2 linked regions of the Caenorhabditis elegans genome follow. The protein of the gene in region 1 interacts with the protein of each later gene in a pairwise test. Each region holds a gene or a part of one and is shown in the gene's direction. Other genes may lie near its edges. The genes, in order: puf-3 and cyb-2.1.

Region 1 (3,600 bases):
TGAAAAAGCGCGCCGCGGGTTTGCAAAACGACGCTCGTTTTTTTTTTAAATTAGACAGTACTTTTTTTTACAAAAATATTATAGATTTTACAACTAAAAAAATTCCAGCTTGACATTGATTATGTGGTTGGACCATTGTCATTTTGGATGCAACAATTCTCTACAAAATCTCCCGTTTCTGGCACTGGACCACAATTACCATAAATAAAATATAATAAAATACTTGTAATTTCAATATATATTCACTCTTGTCTGTATCTTTTTTTTTTTGCTCCTAAACCCACATGTTTCCTATCTATTTACTTCATTTTAGTCATGAAACCTTGTTAAACAATTTGCTATATTTTAAGGTTTTCATGTAGATTTGTAGGTTTCCCACACCCAACAAGAAATCTGATTTTTATTTTTTGGAAAAAAAAATGTACAATTAAATTGAATAAAGAAAGTTGAAGAAGTCGGCGTACACGATGCTCTCCTCTTTTGTGAGCTCTGTCAGGATTGTGAAATGATCTTCATTTTCGTATTCCTGAAACAAAAATGGTCTCGACGCGACAAATTTTTGCTGATTGCGAAAATACGTGCGCCTTTAAAAAAAGACTACTGTAATTTTCTCGAAATTTCATAGATTTTTGTTGTTTCCTCGTGTTTTATCATCCAGACGTGAGATTTTATGGGGTTTGCGTCAAAAATACCATACATGGTCTCGACACGACGAATATGAAAAGGTGTGCGCCTTTAAAGAGTACTGTACTTTTGAAATTTGGTTTTTGCGGAATTTTAAATAATCTATTTTCTTAAGAATGTGTTTTTATCGTAATATATGAGTTTTCCAAATAAAATAAATATATTTTTAAATCTACAGTAATCTTTAAAGGCGCATATATCTGTTCTCATTTAGCAAAAATCTATCGTGTCGAGACCAGGTAACGTGGTTTTGGCGTGAAACTCGTTAAAAAAATATTTTAAAAATCGTGCCAAGACCCTAAAACGGGGTTTTTTTTTCGGTCCAAAATAGCTCAAACCTTGTACTGAGCATTTGCAACTTGACTAGAAAAATCCTGATTTTGTTGGTACAACTTTGGGGATTCCCGTCTGCAACATGCGATTAACACCGGGAACCGGACATGCTTCATAAGCTCATAATCACAACTACAAGTTTCTGCTTCTTCTGAAGTCAACCCAAGATCGTGACCATAAGTCGTGGAAGTCAGTTCTTGAATTTTGTAGATGCCCGCGCTGAGGTAGGCACCACTGATTCGGGGGTCATGGATCCGTGTTACAGCTGGAAATATTTTTTTCTTTGATTTAACAAAAAAAAAGCGCTATTTTTTTGCACAGAGTGAGAATACAAGAACTTTTCATAAATTTTATTCCTGGTATGCAAAATTTATCAATCGTGGCGAGACCCATCGGCGCAGCGTCGACATGCGCCTTTAAATTCTACAGTACTTTATTTCGTTTTTGCGCGGGAAATTTTGGATTTTTTATTTTAACGCGGGATTTTTTGCATTTTGGTTCCTGATTTCTTCATTTTTGTTCATTTTTTGTCTTCGAGGACGCGTCCCAAAATTTTGCTCTCTTATTTTCATTAATTCTATCGTATTTTCCACTTATTCCGTCCATTCAAACGTCGATGTCTTCCAAAAAAATAAATTTTCAGGTAGTCTCCGTACCAATATGAGTCAAAACACCGGTTCCTCTAACCTCGGTCGCTACTACGAGAGCCCGCCAACGGCGACGGAGGCTCGTGGCACATTCGGTGGTTGCTTCAACGCCAACAGCTCCACCAACATTTGGACGCCGAATCGGAAAGTGGACTCTTCGATGGGATTTCGGAGCTCCTCACCGACACCACAGAGCGCTTGGGCTCCGAATCGTCAAGGATTTGGAGGACAATTCTCCAAATGGCGCACTTCTACACCGATGACGACTCCGGCTCGTTATCCTCAACAGGCCGTTAGACTTATCGATTTGGAGAACAACGCCTCGTTCTCGAAGTCTTTGAAGTGAGTTTAGAGTTTTCCAGTGACTTGGAGCCTCAATTTTTAAAACTTTCAAAAAAATAATCAAATTTTCAGCTCGACCACCCGCAGCCACAAATGCACACTTCCAATCTGGGCTGGCGACGGCGAGGGAAATGTCTCGGACTCGGTCACTCTTCAGGATGTGCTCGCCAACGATGCTCTCGTGGAATTTGCCACCGATAAGAATGGATGCCGATTCCTTCAGGAGCATTATCCAACGGAGAACGACAACGACGTCCACCAAAAACTCTTCCGTAAACTGGTCGAGGATCGTGCCATCTTCTTGTCGCTCTGCTCTAACATGTTTGGCAACTTCTTTGTGCAACGTGTCTTGGAGTGCTCGAACACTGAGGAGCAGGAGATTCTTACGGAGCACTTGGCTACTGATTTGTACAATCTCTGCCTTGACAAGAGTGCGTGCCGCGTCATTCAACTGGCTATTCAGAAGCTTGATGTTCATCTTGCGACTCGTTTGTCGTTGGAGCTCCGTGACACGCACCTCGTCCGTCTCAGCATCGATCAAAACGGAAACCACGTGATTCAGAAGATTGTCAAGACGCTTCCAGTCTCTTCGTGGACTTTCCTCGTGGATTTCTTCGCCGACGACGACAATCTCATCCACGTTTGCCAGGACAAATATGGGTGCCGTGTCATTCAATCGACCGTCGAAACTTTGTCGACTGATCAATATGCTCAGTGCTACCAGCATCGTGTCATTCTTCTTCGCAGTTTGATGGCTGGAGTCACTCGTAACTGCACCCAGCTGGCTTCCAACGAGTTTGCGAACTACGTGGTACAACACGTTATCAAGTGTGGAGATGCGTTGGCTGTCTACAGAGATATCATCATTGAGCAGTGCCTTCTGTATGTTTTATATAGTCAAATTTTCAAATGTATTTTTCCATTTCCAGGCAAAATTTGCTCTCAATGTCACAGGAGAAGTACGCTAGCCACGTGGTCGAAGTGGCGTTTGAATGTGCTCCATATCGCCTCGTTGCCGAGATGATGAACGAGATCTTCGAAGGATATATTCCACATCCGGATACAAATCGTGATGCTCTCGACATTCTGCTCTTCCATCAATATGGAAACTACGTTGTTCAGCAGATGATCCAGACTTGTGTTCTCGGTCAGAATGCTCGAGATCAAAAGCAATCGGAGATGTACGGCATGTGGCTCGAGAAGATTCACGGACGAGTGATGCGAAACGCCCACCGCCTCGAAAGATTTTCGTCGGGCAAGAAGATTATCGAAGCGCTCCAATCAATGTCCTTGTACTAGATACACATAGGCAATTTTTATTCATTTCCATTTGAATCCTAACCCCCACCATCACCCAACTCACGTGTATACTATTATTATTTTTATTATTATATTGCTAGAAAATTGTAGAAAGAGTATTGCAACCTCTTCTATATTATATGAAGACCCCGGCCCCCGTTTTGCACAATAATTGATATAAATTCTGTGAATAAAGAATTTACAAACTTCCAGATTTAATTGCAATATTTTGTTTAATTATTACCTTGAAATGCGAGGTGTGCTCCGACTGAGTGTCCTCCAATCACAATTTTCT
Region 2 (4,142 bases), 2.5 Mb from region 1:
GTGTCAGCTAATGAGTTTTCTGAATCTCGTGATAAGGAAAACATCTAGTAAACTTGAAGTGCTCTGCCAACTGTTGAGTGTCCTGATGATTCCATTAAGCTAGTTAAAGCGTAAATTTTAATCTCAATCCGAAGACGTTTGTGCAGTATGTTCGGCATTACCTCTATCGTTTAAAATAAATTTATGGTTAACAAAATTCACACATTAACAAACAGGCCCACCCATATCTTGGCATTTTTTCACTAAACAACCACATACAGTAACCCAAACATGCTAGTTTTGATTAACTGCTTTTCTAATTCAATCATTTATGAAGCGTTGACCAAATATAATATTACAATAATTCACAAATTGTTCACTTTGTTATGTTTTTAGTTACAGTCCAAAGGTGGCATTTACTCAATCTTTAGTTATCCCTAACTTTGAAATTCAACATGTAATTGTTTTTATATTTTAACTATTTGTATTTGAATTCAAATAATGTAAGGTTAAAACCAGCAGTGCTCGTTTCTCTCAAAAAGTAAATGTTTTTTTTTGAAATTTAGGAAATTTACCAAAACTTTAACGGTAAATTCGAAAAAAACTGAACATTTTTTGAAATATTCATGAACGAATGTCTGGTTTTAATTTTCCAAAGCTGAGAAATTACATTTAAAATTCTATAAAAATTATTCAACTTTATTTTTTTTTTTCAGTTGCCCGTAGAAAAAGCAGTGACACTTGGTCTCATCAAGGCTCAAAATGTCACAAAAGTAGCCCCAATTGGACACGGAAGACCTCCAGCACGGAAACACGAAGAGATATCACGTCGTCATTGATTTTATTGACAATGAAACAAAATAACATTCTCTAGTCGATATAGGAACCCATTTGTCCATCCTATTTGTATCATATTGTTTTCTTCACAAAATTTCTGCTAGATTTCTATGAAAATCAGAGAGCTTTCAATTCTTCTCCACTTTTTCTATTTTGTGTGTACATGTCGTTCCTAAACCATTTTCCCTTTCCCATCCCACACTTTCCATGCCGCCCGACCACTTTCTCAACTGTCTCCAGGTACTCTGTAAATTTCTGAATTTATTCATCCTGAAAAACTCTTTCTATATATTTGATGATCACTTTTATTTCTTCTTCATCTCTATACTCTTTGTCTGTGTAAAAATTTTATAATTGTTTTCTTTTCACCATTCACACCCCGGTCTTGTAATAATAAGTGTAGGTTTCAAGAGAGTAATAAAAGTGTATTGAGAATAAAACTTTAATTATATAGAAATCTTAAACACACCCACTTAGAAGTCTTGTTTTTTTTTCTATTTGAAATATATTTGAAATATATTTGAAATATATTTGAAATATTCTTAAAATTTTAAGTGAACCCAGAGAGTAAATTTATTAGTGAACTCAGAGAGTAAATTATTCTGGGAACACATAGATTAAAAAATTCGTTACCCCCCCCCCCCCCTACTATTTTTCGCGAAAATTTCCTCGTTCCCCCGCTTACAATTTTTTTTTCCAAAAAAATTCCTCGTTACCCCCCTTACAGATTTTTTTCAAAAAAAATCCTCGTTACTCTCTTTACGATTTTTTTTCCAAAAAATTCCTCGTTACCCCTTCTAAAATAGTACTGTAACGAAGCACTGTAATATTGGACCTAGAATGGAAACTTTAGAGCTAGTGAACTGCCAGAGTCACTATGTTTGGTGAACTGCCAGAGTCACAATTTTTGGTGAACAACCAGAGTCACTATTTTTAGTGAACTGCCAGAGTCACTATTTTTAGTGAACTGCCAGAGTCACTATTTTTGGTGAACTGCCAGAGTCGCTATGAAATATTGAAAACTGTCATCTTTTTTTTTTTGAAATTCAAAGCAGCGACTTATACACTGTAAAAAATAATATGAAAATTTGAAGAAGTTCTGTCCATTTTAAATTTATTGATAATCTAGACTTGAAATTCTAACCCGCTACAGTAAACCACCACACCTGCACATCATACCTGAAAAAAAGTTTTTTTTTCTGGCGCGCGCGCAGCACAATTTGTATTCTGTTTTTTGTGTGTGGCTCCTTTTTCATTTTCCTAAATTTTTGGCGTTTCAAAACCAATTTATCTATTTTTCCTGATAGTTGCAATTTGCCTATATTTTGTTAAATACTAATTCTTCCTTCATATATTTTTATCTAAAGTTTTGTATAATACTTTTTTTAAGACTAATTTTTTCAGCCGGAGGTCTCGATAAAATGTTGCGAGTTACTACAAGCATTAGAAAAACCACGAAAAATGCCGTTGGGCCAAGAACAAACCTGGAGGAAGTGTTGAATTGTATCGCTATGGCTGAAGACATTTACAACTACCTTGTTCATCACGAGAAGAAATATGTTCTTGACGACAGCTTCATAAATGGAGGAAATGTTAATTCTAAGATGCGCCGCATCCTTGTTGACTGGCTTATCCAAGTTCATCTTCGCTTCCACCTCACCCCTGAGACGCTTCACCTGACGATTTTCGTTCTGGATCGAATTATCGTGAAGAACATTGTCTCCAAGGCGGAATTCCAGCTTCTCGGTGTTGCAGCTTTGTAAGATCGTTTTTTTTGTAAAATTATAGATAATCTTTTGTAGATCAGAAAATTAACAATAGTTTTTATGCAATATTAATGATTTCAGGTTCGTTGCCTCCAAATTCGAAGATATTTACTTGCCAGACATCCTCGAATACGAGATGATCACTGATAACACATTCAGCAAGAAGCAGATAATGGCTATGGAACAGACCATCCTCAACGCCTTGAACTTTGACTTGTCCTGCCCATCTTCGCTTGTCTTCCTCCGCTGTATTTCAAAAACTCTCACAGAGAATGACGTCAATCCAATCGATAAGGAAGCGTTCTATTATGTGCACAATATCTCCAAGTGTCTCGGAGAACTCGCATTGCTCGATTCGGTCATGTCTACGGTTCCAAGGTCGCACGTTGCCAGTGCTTCGATGATCATCACTCTCAATGTTATCACCGTTGATGGAATTAATCCGAAGACTGCTGCATCGATGATTCGGTAGATTCAATTTTTTTCGAAAATTTTACAAGAATTTGTTTCAGCAAACAATTAGGAGCCTCCAAGCAAGATATTTATGATGCTATCGCTCTGCTCGCTCAAGTCGCATATAAAAACTTCAGACATCAGAAGCTTTGCGCCATTAGAGTAATATATTTTTACAAAATGTTTACTCAGTTTTGTTTTCAGGAAAAGTACCAGTCGAGCAAGTTTGGACGAGTATCCTACTTGATGACCGACGAAATCTTGGAGAAAATTCACCGGATGGGGCGCAACGTTGAGGCTTCAGAAGCTGAAACATCAGAAATGGAATGAGAACTATACTTCATCACCCAATACGTTCCTGTGTTCTGCTTGTTTCCCCATTGCACTTACCTTCGGCTTATATTCATGTACTTTTTCTGTTCCATTTCCCCAATCTTCGAAATCTCTAACACATCGTATCAAATCTTTTTCGCACCTTCTTTTGTATCTATCTCATACTAACTTATTTAGTCTTCACTCCTGTCCAAATCTGATATTTTAACTAGAATGAGCAAAAACTTGCTGATGAAATCTATGTGCTATTAAATAATGTTAAATGAAATAAGCATAAATCTTGTACTAAATTGTAGAAATTTACAACATTATTAAAACAACCAGATACAAGCTAATCTTGCATTAAATAGTTTATTTGCCTTTTTCTAAAAAATTAAAAAATTGGGAAAGTAATATTTTTTGAACAGCGCGCGTTTTCAAAACCGACGGCCACATTAAAAGCCTCTTCCATGCTTCGTGTAATCCGCGAGGACTATCATCATATTTATTTTTAGCACCTGGTGCGTTCCATTTTTTTCCTGAAAATTCGAGTGCTTGCGCAGATTTAAAAAATTTTTACTTAAAAGATGTCTTCATTTTTAAACGCTGAATTTTTATGTGCTTGGTAGTTTTCAAAAAACTAATAAAACTATTCAGCGTTTCTTAAAATCATATCAAGTTCAAAATTTCACTGACTGAGAGTTCCGATCAATAAGTTTTATAAACATCTCATTTTATTTCCTCCTCATAAATAAGTATTAATTAATAATTATTTTGAGTACATTTTCAGGTATC

The links.
Region 2: the proteins of puf-3 (region 1) and cyb-2.1 interact in a two-hybrid assay, tested with the Caenorhabditis elegans proteins (3 studies listed by BioGRID).

The regions. Positions count from the first base shown.
Region 1 is NC_003282.8:13,510,223-13,513,822, reverse strand, and holds puf-3 (PUM-HD domain-containing protein), read left to right. Parts: upstream 1-1,660; 5' UTR 1,661-1,677; coding exon 1,678-2,006; intron 2,007-2,078; coding exon 2,079-2,888; intron 2,889-2,935; coding exon 2,936-3,305; 3' UTR 3,306-3,516; downstream 3,517-3,600. Other genes in the region: m7GpppN-mRNA hydrolase dcap-2, read left to right, coding at 109-204; afmd-2 (Alpha/beta hydrolase fold-3 domain-containing protein), read right to left, coding at 428-526, 1,023-1,282, 3,550-3,600.
Region 2 is NC_003282.8:10,983,765-10,987,906, forward strand, and holds cyb-2.1 (G2/mitotic-specific cyclin-B), read left to right. Parts: upstream 1-2,220; 5' UTR 2,221-2,237; coding exon 2,238-2,575; intron 2,576-2,663; coding exon 2,664-3,050; intron 3,051-3,094; coding exon 3,095-3,197; intron 3,198-3,239; coding exon 3,240-3,365; 3' UTR 3,366-3,662; downstream 3,663-4,142. Other genes in the region: Y43E12A.2 (3CxxC-type domain-containing protein), read left to right, coding at 696-818.